Cricetulus griseus: one gene and its partners. The protein of the gene in region 2 interacts with the protein of the main gene of each other region in a pairwise test. Links are inferred from orthologs where the notes say so. Each region holds a gene or a part of one and is shown on either strand. Other genes may lie near its edges.

Region 1 (4,151 bases), on a different chromosome or scaffold from region 2:
TGCTGATGGGAGGCCAGAAGTTCAAGTTCATTTTCAGCTACACAACAAGTTCAAAGCCATCTTGGGCCTTCTGCGATGATCTCAAAAGCAAAGCAAAAGATCAAGTTGTAGAGCATTACCAATGCCAGTCCCTTGTCTCCTACCAGGCCAGGCTCCCAATCAAGATGGTGACTATCCTGGGAGCGGACAAAATCCTGGGCCAGGTAAGGGTAGGAAATGGGACGCTAGCAGTCTTTATTATTTTACTTAACACTTACTGCTTGCAGGCACATGGGGAGGGCAGAGGATAACTTGCAATAGTCCATTCTCTCCTTCCACCTGTGGATCCTGGTTGTCAGGGTTGGTGGCAAGCACTATAGACACACTTGGCCATCTTGCCTGGCCTTGTTTGTTTCATGCCAACCAGAATCTAGAGCATGCTGCAAGCACACTCTACCACTGAATTCCATCTTTAGCCAGTCCATGGGGTCTGTTTGTGAAACTGATGTGAAAACAGTCACACTCATTGTACTATTTGACATCAGACTCCTTTCCATAAATGTTATTTCTAAATTATGAACTTTTAAAATCTGAAATTTCAGCCAGGCGGTGGTGGCAGCACTTGGGAGGCAGAGGCAGGTGGGTCTCTGTGAATTCTAGGCCAGCTTGGTCTACAGAGATCTAGGACAGCCAACGCTACACAGAGAAACCTTGTCCTCTCCCCCTCCAAAAAATAATAAAAATAAAATAAAATTTGAAATCTTGGAGCAAGCTGTGGTGGCACACAGCTTGACTCCCAGGACTCGGGAGGCAGAAGCAGGCAGATCTCTTTGAGTTTGAGGCCAGCCTGGTCTACAGAGTGAGTTCCAGGACAGCCAGGGCTAATACTCAGAGAAACCCTGTCTCAAAAAACAAAAAGAAAAAAAGAAAAGAAAAGAAAAAGTCAGGTTTCGGGTTGAGGGCATAGCTCAGCAGCAGCAGAGCCCGCCGAGACTCCTCAGTGAAGGGCTGGGTCGTCTACACAGAGCCCCCCGTTTGGAGGCTGCAGACGCTATTGAGGGTCAGATCACTTGTCTAATCTTGACTACATCCAATCCTCAGCATCACACAAAAATAGTTCTTGAACATCTATCCATTCAGCCCTGAGATTAGAAGCAGGTGTGGCTCTCAGTCGCTAATTTCGTGGCCAGCAGAGACCTAAAAAAAGGCCTTCCGGCCTTCCGGCTGCGGGCGGCAGGCGCAACCCTTCAGGTTCCCCATCATGCTTTGCGTCCTATGTCACGTGTGCAGTGCACGCCGGAGGCGCCTCCGCGCATGCGCACGGCCTGGGCCACGTGTATTTCTCGTGCGCAGCACACGCCCGCGCCTCAAACCCAGGCGTTGCTTCCTGGGAGGCGTTTGGCGACGGTTGAGCGGCAAGATGAGCGTCTTCTCGCGCCTCAGGAACGGAATCCCGCCGTCGCGCGACGACTGCCAGGTACGGAGCGGGGGTCGGGGAACCTGGTAGCACGAGCTGGGCAGCACCCGGAGCGCGGCCATGGGCGGCAGCACCCGCGGCCCCGGAGGCCTAGAAGGGGACGAAGTCCTGGGCCAGGTGAGGGCGGAGAGCGGGCAGTGGCCCGGGGGAGGCCAGCCAGGCGGCCCCGTCCCTGAGGCCTGCGCTTCTCTCTCCCTCCAGTCTCCCTATGAGCGACTGAGTCAACGGATGTTGGACATTTCTGGGGACCGAGGTGTGCTGAAGGACATCATCCGAGAGGGCGCTGGCGACACCGTAACTCCCGATGCTTCCGTGCTGGGTATGGAGGCCACTGGGCTGGCTGTTTGCCCTTGGGAAACTATGGCTTAAGGTTTTGTTTTTGTTTTTTGCTTTTTCTTGTTTGTTTGGTTTTTCGAGACAGGGTTTCTCTGTGGCTTCGGAGCCTATCTTGGAACTCCCTCTTGTAGACCAGGTTGGTCTCGAACTCACAAGAGATTCTCCTGCCTCTGCCTCCCACCACCGCCCGACCCGGACTGACCTCTTAGCTGCCTGTGTAGCTGAAGAAAGTCTCAGTCTCTTTCAAGTGTTGTAATTACAGGTGGGCAGGACTACATTTTATGTGATGCTAGGAACAGAACCCAGGGCATCGTGCATGGTAGGCAAACCCTCTGCCAACGAGTTACATCCCCAGTCTGATTTTTTTGTTTGGTTTCTGAAACATGGTGACAAAATTACCTCAGACCGAATTCCAACCTCCTGTAATTTAGTAACCTTGAAGTCCTGATCCTTCCTTCCTCTACTTCCCAAGTGTTGGAATCACAACCATGTGCACCAATCTGGTTGGTTTATAGCATTCTTTTGTTTTTTGCTTTTTTTGTTTGTTTTTTGAGACAAGGTTTCTCTTTGTAACTGCCCTGGCTGTCCTGGAACTTGCTCAGTAGACCAGGCTGGCCTCAAACTCACATCTGCCTGCCTCTGCTCCCGAGTGCTGGGATTATAGACATGTACCACCATACCCTGCTTATTTCGGTGTGTCCCTGTGGTATTGCTATGATGGCTCTAAGAGTGTCTTTGGAATGTTTTCTTCACACTTGTGCTTTTCCCCCTCTGCCCTAGTGAAATATTCTGGATACCTAGAGCACATGGACAAGCCTTTTGACTCTAATTGCTTTAGGAAAACACCTCGGCTGATGAAACTTGGAGAAGGTAAGGTCATCTAGGCAAATAAAAACATGATGTGTTTTAGGATTGTCACAGTGTCCAGTGGACAGGTTCGTATAGTTGGTAGCTGAGTTTGGATTTCAGGAGGCACCAGGTTGTCTGTCACTTTTCTACTTGGGACTTGATTTTTGGGTGATAGCTTACCTGGTAAGGTTATCTTGGCATCCAAGTTACCCAATGGGAACTGTTGTCTTTCTTCCTTCTTTCCTTCCTTCCTTCTTTTCTTTTTTTTTGTGTCTTTTTTTTTTTTTTTTTTTTTTTGGTTTTTCAAGACAGGGTTTCTCTGTATTGCTTGTTGTCCTGGAACTTGCTCTGTAGACCAGGATGGCCTCGAACTTACAGAGATCTTCCTGCCTCTGCCTCCCAAGTAAGACAGAATTTCACTGTACATCACACACTGACCTTGAATTCAAAAGCCACCTGCCCCAGCTCTGGAGTGATGAAATAAATGATAAACATGAGCCTTATACCTGGATCCTCTGGGCACTTTTCCTTGTGCATTTATGAAATAAATGTAGTAAATACTTAACTCCCCAACATGTGTGGTGAAATAAGACATTGTAGGATCTGAGAGAATGGCTCAGTCAGTAAAGTGCTTGCCGTGCAACCATGAGGACCTGCTTTCCATCCCACAGAACCCATGTCTAGAAAACAAAGACCAGATGTGATAGTGTGTGCTTATAAATCTCAGTGCAGGGGAGGCAGAAACAAATGGATCCCTGGAGCTCTATGGCCAGCCAGCCTAGCCTACTTAGCAGACTCAAGAACAATGAGAGTTCCTGTCTCAGAAAACAAGGTAGATGCCACCTGAGGAATGACAGCTGAGATTCTTCCCTAGCATCCACATGAGAGTGCATACACAACACACATATCTTTTTGAATTATTTAATCTGTGTATAGCATTCTCCCTGCATATGTGCGTGCCCTGAATACTAGGAAAGGGCACTGGAACATATTACTGATGGTTGTGAGCCACCATGTGGTGGCTGGGAATTGAACTCAGGACCTCTGAAGAACAGCCAGTGCTCTTAACCTCTGGGCCATTGCTCCAGTCCCCGAACACACATATCTTCAGAGGCCATGCTCAGATGAGAACCCCATCCCTGTGGACCTCACTAGAGTGGGGGGAGGTTGGCCTTTAATCCAGAAACTAACTCATAGAATTGAATGAAACATGAAGGTCTGCTTAATGAAATTATAGTCACCTTCCTGCTGGCAGGGCCACAGGCACTACATGAAAAAGAAGGCTTGAGATGAGAGTCCTGAGGTTTGAATAAGATCTAGGGGAATGGAGAGATGCCTCAGAGGTTGAGTACTGACTGCTTTTACAGCAGACTGGGTTCAATTTACAGCACCCACATGGTGGCTTACAACTATCTAGAACTCCAGTTCCTGGAGATCTGATGCCCTCTCTGGTCTCTGAGGGCACTGTATGAATGTGGTACATATACATAAATACATAAAAATAAAGGAA
Region 2 (3,500 bases):
GTTTGAATAACTGAATGAATGAACTGGTAGTCTGACATTGGGAAGACAATCAGAGCCCAGCTGAAGTAACTGAAGTCAGCTCAGGATCCATGTCCTCGCAGTAGCCCCACCCCTCAATTGTTATATGCCACACTCATTATAAAATTCTCAGGGTTGGATCCTATTTTATGGCTATATATATATATATATTGCATGATAATTAAATGCTTATTAAGTAGGTAACTGTTCCCTCCCTTCCTCCCTCTCTCCCTTCGTACTTCCTTTCTGTATTTGGTTTTGGCTGCTAAGATGTAGCAGTATGTTTAAGAATTCTGTGTCCTCGGGGCTGGAGAGATGGCTCAGTGGTTAAGAACACTGCCTGCTCTTCCAAAGGTCCTGAGTTCAATTCCCAGCAGGTGGCTCACAACCATCTGTAATGAGATCTGGTGCCCTCTTCTGGTGTGCAGAGACATACATGGAAGCAGAATGTTGTATACATAATAAAAAAAATAAATTAAAAAAAAAGAATATCGTGTCCTCTTAACATAGTGTGTATAGATACTTCCTTCTAGTTGTTACTTCTTGGAAATGTTTTTCTAAAGTGAAAAGGGTTGATTAATGAAGGGGTGGGAAGGGAGTGTATAAAGCAGTCAGGGTCATAGCCTGTTACGCTGTCTTCCTTTCTCTGAGAAAGTCCTGTCCTTTCTCTATTTTGCCTGGCATGTCACTTATTTCAAGTGAAATTTATCATTGCTGCCTTCTGTACATGAAGAAATGGAAAAATAAAATTAAGTGTCAGTTTTCCTTCCCAGGGAGCTGGTACTAAGACATAAACTTTTAATGAAGTCCTGTGTGTATGGTTGATCATTTAGTGTATCATAACCCAGAGTAGTTTTCTCCTAATAAGAGGCTAGTGTTTGAAGGCCTGGTGCCATTCTTTTTCTTTCTCACATTGGTTTAGAGTTGTCATTCTCTGCATAGAAAATGTTACAAAATGTCATGCTCATTATTTTGTTATTGTAAAATTCTACCTACCACAGTAAACCGTATGTAAATAAGAAGGGAATCACTTTTGTCCTTAGAATAATAGGAAAAGCTTAGATCAACAATATGCACTTCAAGTTAGTGAAATGCCAGAATTCAACAAGCTTTCCCTTTGCAAACAGTAGTGAACCTGACAAAAGTTCTGTAATGATTTTGTAGCAAACTAGATCCATGTAAAGCTCCAGTCATGAGATGAGGGTTTTGCACTGCCCATATTCACTTCACTGTGCCCAGAAACTCTAGTCCCTGAAATTACTAATGTTCAACCGTATCTTCATTGTTAAGGCAGGTGTCTAGATTGACAGAGTAGAGAAGTAATTCAGACTTTTCCCTGTTTCCTAGCGAAGTGATCCAGTTTATTACAAGTGGGCCTGTTATTGCCATGGAGATTTTAAAAGATGATGCGATCTGTGAGTGGAAAAGATTGCTTGGACCCGCAAACTCTAACCTAGCTCATACAGATGCCCCCGGAAGCATCAGAGCCGTCTTTGGGACAGATAGCATAAGAAACGCGGCTCATGGCCCTGATTCTTTTGCATCTGCTGCCAGAGTAAGTTGTTTTGAGAAATATTTTTCTCCTGTTTTGTTTGGAAAATTGTTTTATGTCAGAATAAAATATTTCTCCCACTGAGGACTTTGGGAAAATTTAAAAAGCTGATGTAGTAGTGGCAAACAACTTTTGACATTTTCCTAGGATCAAGTATCGGTTCAAAGCCTCATCTCCTTTTTAAATTAGTTGTGTTGGTCACAGTGGAGTGCAGTTTTCTCCAAGTCTGCCGTTTGTTGCCACGCTTCTTTCTGTAAAGGCATAAATGCTGAGTCTCATGTTTGTGACTGAATTCAATTAGGAATCCTAGTTTACTGATATGTAGTAGATATTCCTAAAGAACCTTCATTGGAGTAGTCTGTAATTTAGATCATGCACTGTTATTAGCTAAGTAGGAGTCTAGGAGAAACACTAGAAATACATGGAACGTATGTGTGAAGATGCAAGAAGTCTCGGGACAGCAGGATGGCTTAGTGGGTAAAGGTGCTTGTATCAACACCTGGTACCCTGAGTTTGTTAACTGGGACCCCTGTGGTGGAAGGTGAGAATTCTGTAAGTTGTTCTCTGGCCTCTGGCCATGCATGTACAAATAGACAGCCAGACAGATTGATAAAAAATTTCAAAGCAAAAAAGTTTCTTTCTTTAAAAGAAAGAATGAAATCTAGGTCTTAACAACAACAACAAAATAATAGTGAGAATTATCCTGTGAGCGGCTTCAATAGAAGATTGAATTTGAGTGTTTGTAACAGCTTATTTGTAATAGCCCAAACTAGAGATATCACAAATGTCCAGTAGATGAACAAAATGAACAAGCCATGCTGTAGTCACACATGGCATATTATTGTAAAAAGGAAGGAAGGATTGATTACAGGGAGTGAATCTCAAAATATTTTTTGAGTGAAAGAAGATAGAAAAAATAATGGATGAATTTATATAAAATTATAAAGATCGGCTTATAGTGACAAAAAGCAGGTTAATAGTCAATAGTAATAGTTAATTACTATTAGTAATAAAAGTTAATTATTCTTTTATAATGTCCTGCCAACAGACTCACTGAAATATACAGTATTTGAGTAAGTTCTCCTCCTCCCTCTTGCTTCTGGTTTAAAGAAATATTTGCACATCAGAATAGAAGGGAGGCCGTTAGAGAAGAGGGCGGAGAAGATAAAAGAGTAAGGAGTTAATAAGGAACTAGAAAGCATCACAGGGTGTGTTGGACCTCTATGAAAATATCCCATGAAGCCTATTATTCTATATAATTTAATGTACACTATAGAGTATGAAAGTTCATTAGTATAGCTTTGATTTATTTTATTGTAAATTTGAGTCAGGGTCTCACCATGTAGCCATATTGACCTGGAACTCACTGTATAGGCCCGGCGGACTTGTACTAGCAGTGAGCCTCCTGCCTCTGCTTCCCAAACGGTAGACTTGCTCTTTCAATTATAAATTCAGGGAAAAGAAAATACTAACTCTGAGGCAGGTTTTGTTTTAGGTGTTTTGGAAGCTACTAAGCTCTGCAAGTTGGTTCTTTTCTTCAAATTTATAATTTGGTTGCTGACAAGTCACAGCTGTGATGAATGCATGGCGCTGATTGGGAGCGTGGAAAATCTTTCTAGAGGATAGTTAGATAGTTCTGTGCTCACTGGCAGATGTTTTGGAGCATGGAACAGAGATTTTTATGGAGAATATAGTGGAAAGAATAGTGCTGAAAGCTCAGGGACAGCATTTAAGTAACTAAAAGAATTGATTAGTATGAACATCTTTGGTTCATTCAGATTGCTAGCTAACTTCTTGATTTAATGAGCTGTAGGCAAAGCAATAGCCACTGTGTGAATCAGGCCAAAATACGTTGCTCATTTTGATTTATAATAGAACTATTGTTAATTAGCTGTGGTTCTCAGACTCCTAAACATTAATTTTTCTGTTT
Region 3 (2,428 bases), on a different chromosome or scaffold from region 2:
CAGCCTCAGCACCCTGCACCATCAGTGCCTTGCTGTCAGGTCATGGTGAAGAAGGGCCTAACCCAAATGCCAGGACAGTCCCCAGTCTGCTGAAGGGGGACTCCCTAGAGGGGCAATGCTCAGCCATCACTCCAGGCCCAGAGAAATGTTGAGCACGGGTGGCTAGAGAAGTGTCCCTGTCTATACGGTGTCACTGGATGGACAAGGGAGGCAGGCTTCGAGGGAGAGGTGCCAGATACCACCCTAGGCAAAGGGACCCACATCCCCACCCAGGCGGTGACCTCGGCCTGACCTTGTAGGGCATTTCCCCCGTGTGAGACACCATGTGCACCCGCAGCTCCATCCTCCTGCGGAAGGTCTCCCGGCACACGGAGCATGTGAAGACCTGGCAGTGTGAGGGGCAAGCAGGGCCAGCATCAGCGAGGGCCTCTGCCTGCGACGGCAGCCTCTGCAGGGGCTTCCACACGCTGCTGGGAAGTGTCTGCCTGGGGTAAGGGATGCTGGGGTAGGAGAGGGCAACATGTAACCTGCCTGCCTTAACCATCACAGAGCACTGTCCACAACCACACACCAGACCCTTCTCATCTCCACACAGGTGGGGGAGGGGGCAGCTGCTACTGTCTCTAGGAAGAGAAGGGTGGGGTTTAGCCAAACACTACCCACCTGTGGCAGGGGGGCATGCAAGGCAGCCCCTCCCAGCAGCCACCCCCACAAACACTTTCCTTGCTCCAAAGCCCAAGATGGAGCTAACCCAAAACATCCCCCCAGGGCTTATCCCCTGTGCCCTCTGAACAAGTGTCCCCTTGTACTAGAATGTGGATGTGATGGCATCCAAGGCCCCTGCAGCTCCTATTTTATAACCCTGTAGCATTTCCTGGGGGTCCTTCCCAGATGGCACGAGGACACAGGTCGGTCACTGGGCTGCTGCCCACAATTACTTGGCCCAATTCCCAAGTACCTGTTCTGAGCGGTTCATGCAATTCCGGGCTTCATGCTCCAAGAGGTTCTCCTTGCGAAAGTAACACTTCCCACATTTGGGACACTCAAAGGGTTTCTCCCCGGTGTGTTTCCTGCCAAGAAGAGAGGCCACAGCGTTGCGGGGGGCCAAGAGGCTGTCCCGCCTCTCGGGCGCTCGGGAGCCCTCCCACTCCTGATACAGACCTATGCTGGGGCATAGGTGTCCTGAGGCCAGCCAGGGCTCACCAAGAAGGCTCAGTGACCCCCAAGTTGGACATGCAGTGGAAAGATCAGAAATCCCCTCCAGTGTAGAGACCCTCAGGAAGAGAAGAAACAGCCATGGCGGGACAGGTGGGGACCGGCAGCCAGCCCTACTTGCACCAGCCTCATTCCATGGGTGCTTTAGAGCTAGCTGACTGGCACAGCCTGGTTGGCACCAACCTCCTCCCTGTGAGCTCCACGTTCAGCCACATGGTAGGCAGGCAGGCAGGCAGGCAGACAGACAGGTGATATGGCTCAGTGCACAAAAGCACTTGGCTGCCAAGCCAGAGGATCCAAGTTCAATCCCTGAGACCCACGTGGTGACAGAAAAACCACTCCCACAAGTTGTGCTCTGACTTCCACCCCCACCCCATGAGTAAATAAATAAACAAATGTAAAACACTATGCCCAGATTCTGCTCCCTTCCTCTCACTGATAGCACACTGGCTGCAGCAGCTCTTGGGGTCCCGTGAGTCACCGCTAGGTCCCTGGCTCCCTACCTGTCTCGCCAGCCAGTTCTACTGACTTCAGAAGCCTTTGGAGATAAGGCAGCCCTCATTACCTCTTGGCTCAGTCCTCCAGTGCTTCCTATTTCACACAAGGAGGACATGGGCGGCCTGAGTGAACTAGCCAGCCCCTCACTGGCCTTGCTCTGAAGTCCTTGTCTGCCCTCACCCCTCACACTAGTCACGCTTACTCCAAGCCCAGGACATTACTGCTAGCTCTGTTCCCAGCAGGAGGCTCTCCCCAGTGAATGGCTTCCTTACCTTTCAGCCTAGGCAGGTGGCAGAAGCCTGTGATGTATCCCAGCTACTTGGTTTAGATCCCACCTGCCCCCAGCACTAGGCTCATGTGTTAGGCAAGTATATTCCCTGCCCATTCCCAGCTACTCCAAGCTAAGGCAGAAGGATCACCAACTCCAGGCCAGCCCAGGTAATTTAGTAAGGCCCATGTCACTGAAAAAGGGCTAGGGATGTAGCTCCGTGGCAGAGGAACACTGCAGATCACGGGGTAGGGGGTAGGCTCCCTGCCTTCTTATAGTCCCCAGGCCACAGTTTTCAGAAACTGACCCTATGCAGTACACTCCAAAACCAATGCCTAGGTCCCACTCTCCTTCTACCCCTCCCTCAAACATGGTCTGACACTCTGTAGCCCCAACTGGCCTGAACCTCACAGGAGGTGCCAAACAGCAGGCATGAGCCAGCAACTT
Region 4 (3,507 bases), on a different chromosome or scaffold from region 2:
CCTGGGTTTTATTTAAAGCTAGCATCCCTTGGATGGGCTCCCCCTCCCCCCTGGCGGTGAAGGGGTGAAACAGTAGGAGAATCGGCATTCACACTGGCTGTCCTCTTGCCACAGCTGACCATCAACGAGGCTGCTGCCCAGTTCTGCATGAGGGACAACACACTTTTACTTCGAAGGGTAGAACTCTTCTCATTGTCCCGCCAAGTAGCCCGAGAGAGCACCTATCTTTCCTCCTTGAAGGGATCCAGGTGAGACCCCCCCCCCTTCCCTGGGCCACCTTTGGTTGGAATCCTGCCAGAGTTGGACATCTCCTCACTTGCAGCTCAGGCAATTCCAGGCCTGCTTCCCACCTACCTGCATGTCTTCCTCTTGCCAAGTCAACTTGTCCGAGGCCTGCTCTTCACTCCCAACCCCCCACAATAATGACTGGAGATGCCTATCCAACCAGCCTCTTGGAGTTTTCCTGGCCAGATTGTGTTCCCTGTGCATCCTGGAGCCCTCCCTAACCCTGCTTTCCCTATTCTCCTAGGCTTCACTCTGAAGAGTTAGGAGGCCCACCACTGAAGAAACTGAAACAAGAGGTGTGGCTTGGGGCTTAATGGGACAGGGCAGGATAGCCTACCCTGACCACTGCTTTGCTAGGTCCTCATTTCCCAATTTTGTGCATCCACAGGTTGGGGAACAGAGTCATACCGAAATCCAGCAGCCTCCCCCAGGCCCCGAGTCCTATGCACCCCCATACCGCCCCAGCCTAGAGGAGGACAGCGCCAGTCTGTCTGGGGAGAGCCTAGATGGCCACTTGCAGGGTGAGTGCATTACTGTCTGCTTTGGGAGGAGGTGGGAGTGGGCGGGTGGGTTACAGGAGTGAGCCAGGAGTCAACTGCCTGGAGCAGGGCTGGGAGGTCTGGCTGGATGGGGACAGAAGAGCCTATGGGAATGACTTGTCGGTTGAGGGTGGGTACCGTTGGCGGCAGCCCCCTGACCTGACCAGTGCCCATGCCCACAGCTGTGGGGTCGTGCCCAAGGCTGACGCCGCCCCCTGCTGACCTGCCCCTGGCATTGCCAGCGCATGGGCTATGGAGCCGCCACATCCTGCAGCAGACACTGATGGATGAGGGGCTGCGGCTCGCCCGCCTCGTCTCCCATGATCGCGTGGGCCGCCTCAGCCCCTGTGTGCCTGCGAAGCCGCCTCTCGCAGGTGAGGCAGCCAGCAGTGCTGTCCCTAAACACCCCAGGCCCACACAGGGTCCTTCTTTTGTAGGACCAGAGGGGAGGAAGAGGGATCCCATACCACTGTCAGGCGCTCCAGCTAGTCAGACCTTGAACAGGGGCAAGCTACTGCTGGGTTGTTTACGATGGGTAGGGTCTGGGCCAGGTGGGGATCGTTGACATGGGGGAGCAGGGAACAGAATGAGGTGTGAAGGTGAACAGTAGAATCAGGAGTAAGGGAAGCCTGGCTAGAACTGCCTAATGCCGGGGTGTGGAGTCGCGGGGAGTTGTGGGGATAGGGTTCCCCAGCTTGGAAGCCAAGGAGCCCAGAGCTGGGCGCTTTTGTGTGTGGATAGGAAAGGAGTAGGCCGGCAGAGGGCCGGGCAGCCGCTGGGCTGAGAGTGACGCAGCAGACAAAGCCACCAACCCTGGCTTGGTATTTTTAAACTCTGCGTGGGTGGGGGAGTGGGGGCGGGGACTGGAGGGGGGGCTTTTCTTGAGGGAGAAGCTGGGAGTCTAGCTTCCTGTGTTTCCCCTGATTTGGCTACCAAAAACTCGGGGGGGGGGCACTTGTAGGGTAGGTGGGCCTGGGAGGGGGGCCAGAGATGAGTGGGGGCGGCTGGGGAGGGGGAGGGGGAGAGGTCAGAGCCAAGCCGCCCCCGCAGCTCCTGACAGAACCAGAAATTCCAGCAAGAGCAGAGGCGGGCGAGACAGAGAAAGAGAGAGACACACAGAGACAGAGAGCTACACACAACCAAAACAGGAGGGGAGCTGCATACACTTGGTCATGGAACCCCCGTGCACACACAGTGGGCAGGAGGCTGTAATTGAGTAACAGGAGCAATCTTCACATTTTTCTGTGCTGGCCTCACTCAGAACAGCTAGCTCTTCAGCTCAGCCTCCATCCTTGTCTCCTAACCCACACCTTTTTCCTACAGAATTCGAGGAAGGCTTGCTGGACCGATGCCCGGCCCCAGGACCTCATCCCGCTCTGGTGGAGGGTCGTAGGAGCAGTGTGAAAGTGGAGGCCGAAGCCAGCCGGCAGTGAGAGTGGGGATGTCTCAGGCCCAGGACCCAGACTTCTGGCTCACTCAGACCCCCATATTCTCCATCCTTGAACTCTAGTCACCACCCTAGAAGGATCCTTCTGCTGCCCTTCTGCCACCCATCTGCCCCATGGGCACAGGACTATGGGGCTTCAAGCAATAACAAGCAGGGGCCTGGCCAGAGGACACTAGGAGGGTGCAAGGTGCGCCCTCACCCGGCTCAGGGGCATGGACTTTGCCTACAGCCTGCTGGGGCTCTCCCTACACACACACAGACACACACACACAGACACACACACACTCTCCCTCTCTCTCTCCAATCGGCGGCCACCAGTGGTATGAACAGGCTGGGATCAGCTTGGATGTGGGGGAAAGAACTTCCTGAGAAGGTCTAGCAGTTGAAAATGGCTCTGTTCGCCCTGATACTGGGGTCTCCTGGAAAACTGGATCTCCCCATCCCCATTTTTTTTTTGTGCTTCTAGTCTGTTTCTTTTAATTTAACAAGTGCTGCGGTTTGCCCACCCATCCTCATCACCCCCCCTCCCAGCAGTTCGTTCTTGTACTGTGTGTGAGGGCTCCCCACAGTTCCCTCCACCAGCCTCTTAGAGGCCTGGGTTAGACCCTGGGTCTCCTCAGTCCAGCAGGAGGACTGCAGCACCTGTCAAACTCTTAGAGTGTCTTTCTTTTCAGATTGTGTACAGTAGATTATTTATTTTGTTATTTTGGAATAAAATTTATTTTATGGCTTAGGATCCATGATCCCCCCTCCCCCTAGGGAGGGAAAAGGGGACGGCATGAGGTGTGAATGGAGAGAAGCCGGCAGTGGATGGGAAAAATAAAAGAGCAGGTGGGGCCACCAGCGCCCAGGGCGTTACACAGCGAGGCCTGTACCCCCCTATTCAGTCCTCAGGCTCTAGAAAACACAGGAAGCATGGAGTCACCAAGGCTATAGCTATATGCATGTCACAGCCAGGTAGTTATGCCCAAAATGACATTGGGTTACTCTGAGCCTTTCAAATATGTGTTGTCACACAGGCAAAAGCAGAGATACGTGTCCTGTGTGGTCATATAGTGAGTGTGTGACATCTGTAGGTTAACATGTCTCAGGTAAACATTGGTACAGCTACACACACAAAGAAGCCTAGCTCTTGTGAGGCTCACTCTCAACTGTCACAGAGCCTCTTTTTGGCAAGAATTTGGAGCTTTGGAGGAACTTGGTTTTTAATCATTACCAGTAACCATATGCCTACAC
Region 5 (4,113 bases), on a different chromosome or scaffold from region 2:
TGCGCACATACAAGCATTGGGGAGGGGGGTGTGCGCACATGCGCGCATGGTCATGCACTCTTGAGTGTGTAACGAACGGATAGGCAGACTGGCGTTGAATTTGTGATGATATTTCTGTCTCCTGGAATTACAGGTGTGTGCTGTACCTTGCTTAGTACCTTGCTTAGTAACTGGTAAACTACATAAGAGATCATCTTAGCTTCATTTATGGGGTGAATTTTAAGATTTATTTTTTAGTTATGTGTAAGTATATGCAGAGGTTCTGGCCTGGTGCTAGTTACAGACACCTGACATGGTTGCCAGGAAGTGAACTCTGGTACTCTGGAGTAGCAGTATGTGCTTTGCAGCCCCTTTTCTGCTAGTTCTCATTTTGTTCATGTCTTCTGTGTATTCTTCAGGGTCAAAGCACGAATTGGGAGCTCTCAGAGACAGCACCAATCAGCAGCCAAAGACCTAACTCAGTCACCTGAAATGTCGCCAACAACCATCCAGGTCACATATCTCCCCTCCAGTCAGAAGAGCAAACGTCCTAAGCACTTCCTTGAGCTGAAGAGCTTTAAGGACAACTATAACACATTGGAGAGTACTCTGTGATGGAGCTGCAGATGCTAACTGTGCAGTCTTCGAGCTATCTGACTCTGCGGGCGGGCCCAGACTTACCAGCCAATGCTTCCATTGAAGCCAGAGTTCCTACAGAGCTGTGTCTGAAAGGTCATTCCCCAGCCCTTTCTTAGAGGCGTTTTCAAATATTGGCTAAGACATTATTATCTCCCAGTAGCCCTTTTTCTGGATTTGAATTCAAATGACATTAATGTTTGTGTCAAAGCCTCCTTGAAGATCTTTACTTGTTTTTGGCTGTAATTCACTTACCTTGTGCAATGCTATTTAGTCCCAAAGTGTAAATTGAGATGTCTTCTATGTCTACCCTGTTGCACTCAGTTGAATAGAAATATTTGGATTTAGAGCATCTCAGGTTTGATTGATGGAAAGGCCCAGCAGTTCCTCATGAGGAAGCGGGAGGGAGGAAGTGGGTGGAATGTCCTCTGGAATTTTGGTGCTCCATTTAAACCAGGTATATTAAGACATGAACATGACTTTCCTGAAGTGGAAGGATCTGTCCTGCCTTCACCCAATACTGTTTTGACAATTAAAAAGGAATGTTCTGGCACTTCCACATAACCTATGCCAAGATGGTAAGACAGCATGAAGTGGTTTTCTCTAATGTCAGCATATTAGTCTCAGTTTACAAATATATTTAATAAAATTAATTTAAAAAAATTTTTTTTCTTCTTTTGGAGACAAGGTTTCTCTGTGTAGCACTGACTGCCCTGGAACTAGCTTTGTAGACCAGGTTGGCCTCAAATTCACGTAGATCTACTTGCCTCTGCCTCTAATGCTAGGATTAAAGGAGAGTGCCACCACCTCCAACAATGAATCCTTTCTTTAGAATGGGCTTTAGAACAACAGACATTTGATGTGTGTCTGCATTTCCCTTACAGAACATAGGGTGTGAAGCTTTGCCGCCAGAAACTGGTTGGACTGTGTATCTGGATCTAGACATTGCAGGTAGTCTGAAATTCTGAAATAGGGACTGTGTCGCTCATCCTCATAGCCTAGCCTTGTCACTAATAGAAAGCTGGAGAACCAGGATTCCCTTTAGGTTGCCAGGGCAACAGGCCAAGTAGCCAGTCAACTCCCAGGACCAGGGTCATTGTTGGATGCCTAAATGTTACTATGACTACTGAAACCTTGGTGACCAAACTAAACAGAAAGGAGAGCCTTCCCAGTGGCCTCAGAAAATCAACCATGTCTATAGATATGTCTACGGAAAAAATGACAAAAGTAGAAGAGGTATGCAGAGTTGGAAGGAGGGTTGGAAGTTGGATGAGTTTCCCTTGACGTGGTTTCCAGGTGGGTTTACCCAAAGTACAGCATTCCTGAGAAAGGCTTGGTAGAATGCAGGAGAGTTAGCAAAAACAAGAAACCACTTTTGGAACAGGAGTTGTTCACAAATGTCCCACTCTGACCCCTGTATATTCTTTTCTGTCTGTTCTGAGAAATGTAGAGCTTTCCCACTTCCCCCTAGGAAACTACTTCATTCATCAAACATAGGTACTATGCTCAGATTCTAGTAATGAAGGCAAATGAACAGAACTCACTTCTGTTGCAGAATTTGCAAAGAGACGCGGCACTTCAGAAGATGGTCAACAGGTAATCTGTGTTTCCATCTCCTCCCATCAGTTTGTCTTTTCGACTCTCCACTCCCTGAGCCACCACCCAAATCAGCTCTCCTTGGGGACTCAAGAAAGAAAACATGAAGCAAACGGGGCAGCCTTGTTCTCGGAGTAACCGGAGATGAGCATGTTAATGCCTACTGGATGACCCTGTTTGTTTCTATGCCCACTTCCCAAGCTTTTCAGGAAAGGCACAAGTGTTTGTTCTGCCTTTCTTTTTTCTTTCTTTCTTTCTTTCTTTCTTTCTTTCTTTCTTTCTTTCTTTCTCTCTGCCTCCCTCTCTCTCTCTCTTTCTCCCTCTCTCTCTCTTTCTCCCTCTTTCTCTCCTCTTTCTCTCTTCTCTCTCTCTCTCTCTCTCTCTCTCTCTCTCTCTCTCTCTCTCTCTCTCTCTCTCCCCCTTCCTTTCTCTTTCTTTCTTTTTAAACATACTTGCCTGGCTTTGTACTAATTAAATAGCAGGTATTTCAATAGATGTTGGACAACTGACACAATACCCAGAAGATTGAACCTCATATTTCACCAGCTAAGATTTTAGTTTTGGTGCATTTGGGTATTGAATCCAGGGCTTTGTGCATGGAGGTGTTTTACCACCAGCTATACCTCCAACCCTGAGCATTTTTAAAAAAATGCTGGCAGAAGCAGGGCATGGGGGCTCATACCTATAATCCCAGTACTTGGATGAGCATGAATCTAAGGCCAACCTAGGTTACAGTGTGATTGATACACTCTCAAAAAGCCCCAAAGGGAGGCCCAATATGGTGGGTGGTATATGCTTTTAATCTCAACACTAGAGAGGGCAGAGACAGGTGGATCTCTTGAGTTTGAGCTCATACTAGTCTACATAATTCCAGGGAATCAGGGTTATATAGTGAGACATTCTTAGTGAGAGAGGTAGTTGGTGGTGGCACAGGCAGTTCACTGGTAGATTGCTTGCCTAGCATGCACAGAACCTTGGACTTAATCTCCCAGCATTCAGGAGATACAGATAGAGGCAACAGAAGTTCAAGTTTAGCTACATAGTGAGTTGGAGGCCAGTATGGGCTACATGAAACTGTCTTTTTTTAAAAAGGTAGATGGGCTGTGGTGGCACACGCCTTTAATCCCATCACTGTGGAGGCAGAGGCAGAGGCAGGCAGATCTCTGAGTTGGAAGCCAGCCAGAACTACACAGAGAAACCCTGTCTTGAAAAACAGAAGGTAAAGGTTAGGAACAATGAACTGAGACCCAATTCTTAATGACCTAGGTGACACAACTTTGCATTTCCTTTTGTGTGCACTGTAACAGCTGACAGCTCTGCCTCTTGTCCATGATACAATTTAGTAACAGTGCACTTACACTTAAGTCAGTTCTAGCTACCCTTTCAAGAACTTTGCAGTCTTCTGGCAGTGACAGAGGTTCTGTCACAAAGCAACCACATTAGTAAGGATTTGTCTCTACCCTAACTCTCACCCACTTAATCCCCACCCCTAACCCTGGGACAGGTGGAAGAATTCACATACTCACTGTATGTGGCAGATGACATTGAGTCACCGGAGAGACCTGTATGCTACCCTAAGGATGCAGGATGATATGGAACAGGAATTAGTAATGGCCAACAAACAGCTGCTGATGGTGAGTTTTAGTAGGGCAACTCTACTCTCTCTACTCCCCTGCCAGCTGGCGTAGCAAGCTCTTCTATCATGACTTAACCATATTGTTTGCCTCTGAGACTTCTCATGATTTTTATCAGAATGTTAATATCAAATGTCAAAGCTCTTTCAATAAGTGATTTTTTAAAAATTTTTGCATTATTTGCAGATGGCACTCCTTGTTTAGTTTTGGGTTTAATGAAGCTTTGTTTTCTTGGGTTCTTTGGGTTGGGTTGGGTTTTGTTTGAGTT
Region 6 (4,131 bases), on a different chromosome or scaffold from region 2:
AACAAGGAGGTTCAGCAACCCTGGACACTTGAGTCAAGTGTGAGCATAGTGCTAGAATGTCCACTTTACTGATGACACCCCAGCGCCTCCCTCCTAGCCCTGTGTGAGCTAAAGCAGCCGGGCAGGTTAGTCCTGCACAGCTCTCATGGGCAGATCAAACCGGATCCTGCTTGTCTGCTCTACCAGAGATTGACAGGGACTCTGGGAGGCAGGTATGGAGTCCCAGAGGCTCCCCTACTCATGCCATCCTGGGGCTGCCTGCTCACCGCTTACCTTGACTGCTGTGGTCCTCCAGGCTGACCCGCCAGTCGTCCCCTTGGAGCTCAGCGTGCAGCAATGCATGGACCCCAGAGATGAGGCCCGGCTCCTGCTGGGGCCGCAGGGCCACATCACACAGGTCAGCCCTGCAGCCCAACCGATAGGTGCAGCCTGACCTGGACGGGGGGTGGAAGGTGTAGAGATCACCGCCCCTGCCGCCCCCTATGCGCAGCAGCTGGAAGCAGGGCAGCATGGGGGGGTGCTCCCCTCTGCACCGCTTCTCAGCAGTTCATCACCTCTCCTACTCCCAGGCCATGCACCGGGGGCTTCGGTTCAGTTGTCTGACGTCAGCAGCCCCACTGTGGGTAATGCCAACTTGAGAAACACAGATTTCCAAGAGCGCCAGAGGCCTGGACACGCATGCAACCGCTGTAGCTAGCGGCTGTCAAGATGAGACTTCAAAAGCAATTCCGGAGAAGCCCTTTCGCGATGCAAAACCAGGAAGACGTCCTGTGGGACCTCCGTGATGCCGGGTCCTCAGGCCGCAGAATATCCGGGGAGGCTGTAGCAATCTGTTCAAGGCAAAGCTACTTTAAGCGGCAGCTGGGGACACCCCAGCGGGGTGAGGAGGTCCCGCTACACGGACGTGCGTGCGACACGAACGTGTCCCCTCGAGTGTAAGCAGGAGCCGGGAGGGAAGCCTACAGGTCAAACTTCCTAATCCAGGTAGAGCACCCCTTCTGTCCTGCCCCGAGGGAAGGGAATCCGCTGTCACCCACAAAGGGCGGCGCAGACAGGTCCCTAACTCTGCAACAAGGTGGAGCTCACCCTCTCCTCTTGCGCTTGCGGGGTGCCCCGAAGAAGGACTCCACACCCTGTGCCCCTCGCTCCCGCTGCGGTTTGACAGCCAGGAAGCCGCCCTCCGGAGGGCGCGGCTCGGGCGGGCGAGCGGGCGAGCCGGCGGGCGCGCACCGCGCAGACTCCTCCTACGGAATTCCCGGGTCCAGCTTCGCGCCTGCGAGCCCGCGCCCCTCCCCAGGCTGTCTCTGATTGGCCATCTGACTCGCCCTCCTCCGCTGTACTGGACGATGCGCAGGGAGGGGCCGTCCATCTCCCGCCCTCCGCCGTTTCTGATTGGCCTGCAGGTTTCCCGGGTTCCCGGGATGGGGCGGGGCCGCCAGGGCGCGGAGAAGGCCTGGAGGAGTCAGTGTGCCTGCGTGCGCCGTTCTTCTTCCTTCCTCCTTCCGGCAGGCGGGGCGAGTTGGGGCTTTAGAGCATCCCGCCAACCCCACCCGCCGCGCGCATGCGTGCTCAGGGCGGGAAGCCTAGCGGGGAAGCCAGGGGCTAAGGGGCGTGGCAAGAAGGCGGACCTCGCGCTGGGTAAGGAGCGTTCGGCCGGAGTCGGTTGGTTGGGGGCGGAAAGGGGCCTGAGAGGGGGTGCTCAGGAGGGTGGAGGGGGTCCACAGGGCAGGAGGGGTGCAGGAGCCCGGTGAAAGAACAGATGAGGAGGTCGGGGCAGCCTTACAGCTCAGGGTCCTAGTGAGGGGGATGAGCCCGTGGGTGTGTGCAGGAGAGGAGAGGGCAGACCTGAGGACAGCGAGCGACCGGGACCATAACGTCAAGAAAAATGCAGAGTAGGACTAGGAAGAGAAGCGTGTAGGGATCTCGTTGAGTGGAAAACAAACAAACAAACAAAAAATTTGAGTTCGGACGGGAGTTGGACAAAGAAGATGCTGCAGGACTCTGAGCAGCGAAGGGCTTCGGGAATGGAAGCAGAGGGGATAGAGAGAAACTGAGGCCCGCTGCAGGGAGACTCCGATGAGATAACAGGAAGCTGGCTGCCTGGCAACGCGCTCCAGGCTGCTTGCATTCCCTGGGGATCCTAGGGAAGCCGCTTAACCCTACATGAGGCCCCATTCTTCTGGTGCCAGGCCTTGGGCTAACGCTTTTGTAGGAAATGACCCAGAAATCATGGCGCGGTGGTGCCTAGATGGGTTTCCCAACGTCCCTACCATACCATGGCGAGAACTGTGGAGACGGGGTTCACAACAGGCCCGCTCACCTCCAGACCAGAGCTACAGGGATCGTAGACACTTAAGGAGGAAGGTAAAGGCACCACTCACAATCCTGTAGTAGAAGCAAAATCCCCAAGAGCATCCCCTGGCCCCCATCTCGGTACATTTACCCCATGATTGTTGCCTGGTTCCTTTGTCAGGAGCGTGTGTTCGGGACAAGCAAGTCTGCCTTGTTAGGGAAGTAGGGAGAGAGAAGCTCAGAGCTGGGCAGATCTGTCAGTAACTGAAGGATTGTGGCTTTGTTATTATAGGACTTCCTCTTTGGAAGGTGGCCTGAAAACTGAACTGGAGTCTCCTTGTTTCTCCTACTGTCCAGGGGAACCTACACTCTTGCGGACAAGATCGAGAGGCTTCAGATAGAGTGGAGATGTTGTCTCCCTCAGGTCAGTAAGGCCAATCAAGGAGGCTGGGAAGTCTCTCTGTGTCTCTCTGCCTCTGTCTTTCTCCCTCTCTCCCTCCCTCTCCTCTCTTTCTCTCCCTCTCTCTCTCCTTCCCTTCCTCCCTCCCCCTCCCTCCCTCCCTCCCTCCCTCCCTCCCTCCGTCTTCCTCTCTCTCTCTGAGAAACTGACAGTCTTTACTCTTGTGACCCACCCCCTCAGGTTTTGCTGGACTGGTTCCTCCCTCCCACTTCCAAGCTCGGCCGAGAATGGCCCCGACCTGGGCTTCAGACATTCCCCAGTTCCAATCCACATTTGACCAAGATGTCCTAGAGAGGCGGCAGCTGGACTCTCAGAGGCCCACAGTGACCATGAGGGAACAGGATGTCTATGGAGATGGGCAGGGGCCAGGGCAGAGAGGCAGGTAGGGATCTGTCAATCACCTTTTTCTCAGACTTGCTAATGATCCTTTATACACACATTCCTTTATTTCAGCAGCCCTGGGTTCCATAACTTGTGTGGTTTTCTGTAGGCCATTGTTGGTACCTACACTGCATATACCATTATGCCCTGGAGAAAATCAAGAGAGAGGAGAGAGAGAGAGAGAGAGCGCGCGCTCTGGACTTAAATTCCCAATTAACAAGTGTTGCTAGAGTTTCTTTTCCTCCAGGTCCTGCCACCGCTTCAGCCCCAAATAAACACACAGACACTATATTAGTTATAAAACAGTTGGCCAATGGCTAGGGCTTCTTGGTGGCTAGCTCTCTCTTCATCATTAACCCACTTCTATAAATCTATGTATTTCCACGTGGTCTTGGCTTACCAGAAAATGCCCAGACCTGTTACTCCTTTGGCAGCTACATGGCATCTCCTCCCTGCATCTCTCCCAGGGTTCTCCCTGTCTCCCTGCCCCACCTATCTTCCTGCCTCTTTTGGCCAAACAGTGTTTTATTCATCAACCAATAAAAGAAACATATATACTGAAGGGCATCCCCCATCATCTCCTCTTTTCTGTCTAAATAAAAAGAAGGGTTTACTTTTACTTTAACATAGTAAAATTATATATAACAAAAACAGTTATCAAGTAAAAACATATAGTTAACAATAAAGAAGGAGTGTAAATGTCTGAGGGAGGAGATGGATTGCCCAGAAGCCATTGTGAAACGAAGTGACATGCTGGCTCTTAGTTAAAAGGGCCTTTCCCGGCATACACCACTGGAGCTGGCTATGCTCGGCATATGTGGTTTAAGATTTTATTTTTGAGCCGGGCATGGCCTGCCTTTAATCCCAGAGAGGCAGACAAGCAGGCAGATCTGAGTTCAAGGCCACTCCCTCCCTGGTCTACAGAGTGAATTCCCTGACAGCCAGGGCTACATAGAGAGAATCCTGTCTGGGGAAAAAAACAAAACAAAACAAAAAAG
Region 7 (4,191 bases), on a different chromosome or scaffold from region 2:
GGTCAGAGAGCATTAAGAAGACTGACCAGGAAGGATAGAAGAAAAAGCCCAGGGAGCAGGAGGAGGGGGAGGTTCGGGCAGGTGGCAGGGGTCGGGATAATAGAGGTGTAGGCAATCAGGTTCAAACCTAACAGGGTGTTTCTATGCATCCCTGCCTGCCTTCTGAAACCCCAACCTCTTCAGACACAGTATAGTCTGTAGGAGAGACAGTGGTCTCTTTTCCCTGCTGTTCCAATGGCTACTAGAAAGGGCATGACACACAATAGGTGTCCAGCAAATACTGGTTAAATTGTAGGTGCTCTTGGGCTGGCTGTGTACTCAGCTAGCAGAGTGCTTATGTCGAATATGAGGTCTTGGGTTTGATCCTCTGCACCCGATATACCTGGGTGTGATATCTCATGCCTGTGATCCCAGCACTTGAAAAGTAGGGACAGGAGGATCAGGAGCTAAAGGTCCTCCTTGACAACATAGAAAATTCAAGACCATCCTGGGCTACATGAGACCCTGTCTGTGCACTCAAGCCACCAGGGACTGAGTGAGGAAATGTGTTCCTGTGTGTTTACGAATATATTTCCACATTTGACAATATATATTTTCATAGTTCCCTTTGGACACATGCTTAGCAGTGGACAGAGCCAAAGCACTGACTGGGAACCAGTGCCTTGGGACCAGAGTGTGAAAACTAAGAGACCTGCGCATCTTATTTCTCTTCCTCTTTTTATTTATTTATTAATTATTAATTTATTAATTATTATTTACTAATTTTTACCACATTGGTGTTTTGCCTGCATGTCTGCATGAGTGTGTCAGGTACCCTGGAACTGGAGGTACAGAGAATTGTGAACTGCCATGTGGGTGCTGGGAATTGAACCCAGGTCCTCTTACAAGAGCAACCAGTGTTCTTAACCGCTGAACCGTATCTCCAGCCCCTCTCTTCCTCTTCTTGAGCTCCCAACTTTTCTTCCCCAGGACTCCTGGGGACTCCAGGACTCTCCCCCTACTTAAATTCTAAGGACACTCTATAAAAATCTTTGCCCTAGTGGACACCTATTTATGAGACCCGTATTAGAAAAGCCATTTCCTTCTCTAAAAGCAAAATCTCAAGGGCTAACACCACCTGTTATCCTTGGTGGCCCGGATTAGTCACCCCCTTCCTGGAGCGGTGAGGGTGGCAGGGCAGTGTTGGTGTAAGAAAACCAAAAAAGGGTGCGACCAGGTAAGTCACAGGAATCGCCTGCTCCTGGCGCCTGCGGCTCCGGTGGCGGGGGCGGGGCCTGCAGAGGATGTCCCCACCTCCTCCCTCAGCGATATAACAGGCCGAGGGCTGCCACTCTCCACGACCGTCCAAACTCCTGTCCCGGTCTCTCGCTTCGCTCTCATTTCCAGAAAACATGAGCTTCACCACCCGCTCCACCACCTTTTCCACCAACTACCGGTCCCTGGGCTCTGTGCGGACGCCCAGCCAAAGGGTCCGGCCTGCCAGCAGCGCGGCCAGCGTCTATGCAGGTGCTGGGGGCTCGGGTTCCCGAATCTCTGTGTCCCGCTCTACAAACGTCTGGGGTGGCTCCGTGGGGTCTGCAGGCCTGGTTGGAATGGGTGGCATCCAGACCGAGAAGGAGACCATGCAGGACCTGAACGACCGCCTGGCCAGCTACCTGGACAGGGTGAAGAGCCTAGAGACTGAAAACAGGAGATTGGAGAGCAAAATCCGGGAACATCTAGAAAAGAAGGGGTCCCAGGGCGTCAGAGACTGGGGCCACTATTTCAAGACCATCGAGGACCTGAGGGCTCAGGTAAGGGGCATGAGGGGAGGAGCCCTCGTTCCCAGACATTGTGGTCATCCAGTGCCCCCACCCCATCCCCACCCCCCAAAACAACTTCAATAGGGTGTGGGTGGTTGACTAGTTCCATTCCACATCCATCCCATTTCCCCACTCTACAGGAATACTTTGGATTCCCACCCACAACCTAGGAATTCCAAGCGTGGTGCCTACACACTGGAGTTCGCTTCCCCCAAAGGGTGTAGTGGGAAGGGAACAGGAATAAGAGCCCCGCAGAAAAAAAGGGGGGCATAATGTGGACCCAGACACTCACTTCTTTTTCAGTGGGGACAGTTACAGGGTTAAGCGGATGTAGCTAAGGCTGAGTCATCCAGAAGTAAACAGGAGCCTACCTGTGGGAGGGGCCAGTCAAGGGGGTGGGGGGCCCAGAACAAGAGGTTAGCTCGCAGGTGCACCGGGCGAAATTGCCAGGAGAGAGCTGCTCGTTTGCAGGCAGGCGGGATAGTGCAGGCCCAGACAGAGGGGCAAGGTGCCAGGATCTAAGAGTCCATGAAGGGAGAGGCTGCACAGGTGGAAAGGGAGATGGGAACGCTAGCCTCTGGCAGTTCCGGGCCTGGGATGCATTCAGTGAAACAGAAGACACATCCGCATTCCCGATCCTGCCCCTACCCACCCATCATTTGACCTGGTACTCTCACAGAGACCCTCTGCTTTAATCCACCCAGATCTTTGCAAATTCCGTGGACAATGCCCGCATCGTGTTGCAGATCGACAATGCTCGACTCGCTGCCGATGACTTCAGGGTCAAGTAAGTCTGGGGCTACAACTAGAGTTAAGAGTGGTCTACTCCAGGGGCTGTGTTAGGGTGGGGTTTCCTTTCCGAGGCTTATTCAGGTTAGGGTCCTTTGAGTGGTCATTTAACTGTTCATTCATGCAGCCCAGTTTAAGCATTACTGCTCCTGGCAGCCAAGAACAGTGCTGAGGAAATGATGCCTGACTCAGGTGACTGGTTTGTGATGGGCCTAAGGCTAGGCTAGGGAGGTGGCTCTGGTTGGGAAGGCTCTAGATCAGATGGGGTCCACTGATCACTTCCACTCCTTCAGGTATGAGACAGAACTGGCCATGAGACAGTCTGTGGAAAGCGACATCCATGGACTCCGAAAGGTGGTGGATGACACCAACATCACAAGGCTGCAGCTCGAGACAGAAATTGAAGCCCTCAAGGAAGAGCTGCTATTCATGAAGAAGAATCACGAGGAGGCAAGTGGGGCTACTGACTAGGCCTGGGAGCCAAGACTTAGATGGGCAAGGCTGCCCCCAAAATCAGCCTTGCATGGAAATTTAGAGCCACCAGCCTGGGCTGCTAGCCTGTTTTGATTAAGAGCAAAAGAGCTCACCCAAGTTAGCCTACATTATCTTGACCTCATAATAGTATAAAGTCTAGCTTGCAGCCCTACCACTGGAAAGCTGAGGCAGGAGGATTGATTTCAATGCCAGCCTGTGTAAATAAGGGGAGATGGAGACAAAGGTAGAGATTGCCAGTCTTAGGAGCTGGTAGGGCTTCTGGAAGAAGTTTAAGGTAAAGTTATGTGGGGGGAGGAGGGGATAAGATGCAGAGAGGAAATTATCTCTGAGTGGCAGGTTCAGGCAGTGAAGAAGTGGCATTCCTACCCGTCTGGAGCAGAAGCCCAGATTTGCTAAGTGCAAGTCCAGGATCTCCTTCCCTTTCTTCCCTCATTATGCTCATCATTGCCTTCTAGAAAAGGCCATCTAGAAAAGTGATGAAGGGCTGGGTTGGGACTCTGACCTTCAGTGCCCCCTCTTAGGTACCCCCTCCCCTTGTTTCTGCCTTCTTCAGGAAGTCAAAGGACTGGAAGCCCAGATTGCCAGCTCTGGACTGACTGTGGAAGTGGATGCCCCCAAATCTCAGGATCTCAGCAAGATCATGGCTGACATCCGGGCCCAGTATGAGGAGCTGGCTCAGAAGAACCGTGAGGAACTGGACAAGTACTGGTCCCAGCAGGTATGCAAGAGGAAAGGCTGGTTGTCAGGGTGTGAGGAGGAGGCTGCCAACGAAGGCTGGTCTTGACTGACCCTCCCCGCACTACAGATTGAGGAGAGTACCACAGTAGTCACCACCCAGTCTGCTGAAATCAGAGATGCCGAGACCACACTCACAGACCTGAGGCGCACCTTCCAGGCCTTGGAGATCGACCTGGATGCCATGAAAAATCAGGTGAGAGTCCCACAGTCACCTGCTGCAGTTCCTCTGGATCCAAACCTCTGATATGTGGCCTCAGCCCCAGCTGTCTGTCCCTCTTCCTCCTCCTGACAGAATCAAGGGATTCCCTAAACTGAAGCACTTCTCTTTCTATTTCCCATTACTCCCACACTGGAGCCTAGTACTTAG

The links.
Region 1: the proteins of Nme7 (region 2) and Fkbp6 interact in binary tests that used the Homo sapiens proteins (3 or more experiments, as listed by UniProt). The two-hybrid records come from large-scale screens. The link is inferred for Cricetulus griseus from reciprocal best matches to the Homo sapiens genes NME7 and FKBP6.
Region 3: the proteins of Nme7 (region 2) and Zbtb48 interact in binary tests that used the Homo sapiens proteins (3 or more experiments, as listed by UniProt). The two-hybrid records come from large-scale screens. The link is inferred for Cricetulus griseus from reciprocal best matches to the Homo sapiens genes NME7 and ZBTB48.
Region 4: the proteins of Nme7 (region 2) and Nab2 interact in binary tests that used the Homo sapiens proteins (3 or more experiments, as listed by UniProt). The two-hybrid records come from large-scale screens. The link is inferred for Cricetulus griseus from reciprocal best matches to the Homo sapiens genes NME7 and NAB2.
Region 5: the proteins of Nme7 (region 2) and CUNH1orf189 interact in binary tests that used the Homo sapiens proteins (3 or more experiments, as listed by UniProt). The two-hybrid records come from large-scale screens. The link is inferred for Cricetulus griseus from reciprocal best matches to the Homo sapiens genes NME7 and CFAP141.
Region 6: the proteins of Nme7 (region 2) and Cchcr1 interact in binary tests that used the Homo sapiens proteins (3 or more experiments, as listed by UniProt). The link is inferred for Cricetulus griseus from reciprocal best matches to the Homo sapiens genes NME7 and CCHCR1.
Region 7: the proteins of Nme7 (region 2) and Krt18 interact in binary tests that used the Homo sapiens proteins (3 or more experiments, as listed by UniProt). The two-hybrid records come from large-scale screens. The link is inferred for Cricetulus griseus from reciprocal best matches to the Homo sapiens genes NME7 and KRT18.

The regions. Positions count from the first base shown.
Region 1 is NC_048597.1:114,399,399-114,403,549, reverse strand, and holds the start of Fkbp6 (inactive peptidyl-prolyl cis-trans isomerase FKBP6), read left to right. Parts: upstream 1-1,351; 5' UTR 1,352-1,399; coding exon 1,400-1,456; intron 1,457-1,657; coding exon 1,658-1,775; intron 1,776-2,572; coding exon 2,573-2,662; intron 2,663-4,151. UniProt on the Homo sapiens protein: Has an essential role in spermatogenesis. It is required to repress transposable elements and prevent their mobilization, which is essential for the germline integrity.
Region 2 is NC_048598.1:27,997,174-28,000,673, reverse strand, and holds part of Nme7 (nucleoside diphosphate kinase 7), read left to right. Parts: intron 1-1,365; coding exon 1,366-1,573; intron 1,574-3,500. UniProt on the Homo sapiens protein: Possesses an intrinsic kinase activity. Displays 3'-5' exonuclease activity with a preference for single-stranded DNA. Does not seem to have nucleoside diphosphate kinase activity.
Region 3 is NC_048595.1:4,334,228-4,336,655, reverse strand, and holds part of Zbtb48 (telomere zinc finger-associated protein), read right to left. Parts: intron 1,071-2,428; coding exon 959-1,070; intron 386-958; coding exon 293-385; intron 1-292. UniProt on the Homo sapiens protein: Plays a critical role in transcriptional regulation and chromatin remodeling. Acts as a regulator of telomere length. Directly binds the telomeric double-stranded 5'-TTAGGG-3' repeat.
Region 4 is NW_023276806.1:130,082,124-130,085,630, forward strand, and holds the end of Nab2 (NGFI-A-binding protein 2), read left to right. Parts: intron 1-114; coding exon 115-248; intron 249-529; coding exon 530-581; intron 582-673; coding exon 674-806; intron 807-1,006; coding exon 1,007-1,198; intron 1,199-2,147; coding exon 2,148-2,257; 3' UTR 2,258-3,007; downstream 3,008-3,507. UniProt on the Homo sapiens protein: Acts as a transcriptional repressor for zinc finger transcription factors EGR1 and EGR2. Isoform 2 lacks repression ability.
Region 5 is NW_023276806.1:64,478,668-64,482,780, reverse strand, and holds the start of CUNH1orf189 (uncharacterized protein C1orf189 homolog), read left to right. Parts: upstream 1-1,313; 5' UTR 1,314-2,134; coding exon 2,135-2,211; intron 2,212-3,715; coding exon 3,716-3,845; intron 3,846-4,113. Other genes in the region: C1H1orf43 (protein C1orf43 homolog), read left to right, coding at 399-594. UniProt on the Homo sapiens protein: Microtubule inner protein (MIP) part of the dynein-decorated doublet microtubules (DMTs) in cilia axoneme, which is required for motile cilia beating.
Region 6 is NW_023276806.1:229,456,694-229,460,824, forward strand, and holds the start of Cchcr1 (coiled-coil alpha-helical rod protein 1), read left to right. Parts: upstream 1-1,331; 5' UTR 1,332-1,346; coding exon 1,347-1,638; intron 1,639-1,644; exon of another isoform or gene 1,645-1,662; intron 1,663-2,189; exon of another isoform or gene 2,190-2,212; coding exon 2,213-2,364; intron 2,365-2,584; exon of another isoform or gene 2,585-2,649; coding exon 2,650-2,716; intron 2,717-2,932; coding exon 2,933-3,134; intron 3,135-4,131. Other genes in the region: Tcf19 (transcription factor 19), read right to left, coding at 274-511. UniProt on the Homo sapiens protein: May be a regulator of keratinocyte proliferation or differentiation.
Region 7 is NC_048595.1:398,416,383-398,420,573, forward strand, and holds the start of Krt18 (keratin, type I cytoskeletal 18), read left to right. Parts: upstream 1-1,391; coding exon 1,392-1,793; intron 1,794-2,506; coding exon 2,507-2,589; intron 2,590-2,884; coding exon 2,885-3,041; intron 3,042-3,639; coding exon 3,640-3,804; intron 3,805-3,891; coding exon 3,892-4,017; intron 4,018-4,191. UniProt on the Homo sapiens protein: Involved in the uptake of thrombin-antithrombin complexes by hepatic cells. When phosphorylated, plays a role in filament reorganization. Involved in the delivery of mutated CFTR to the plasma membrane.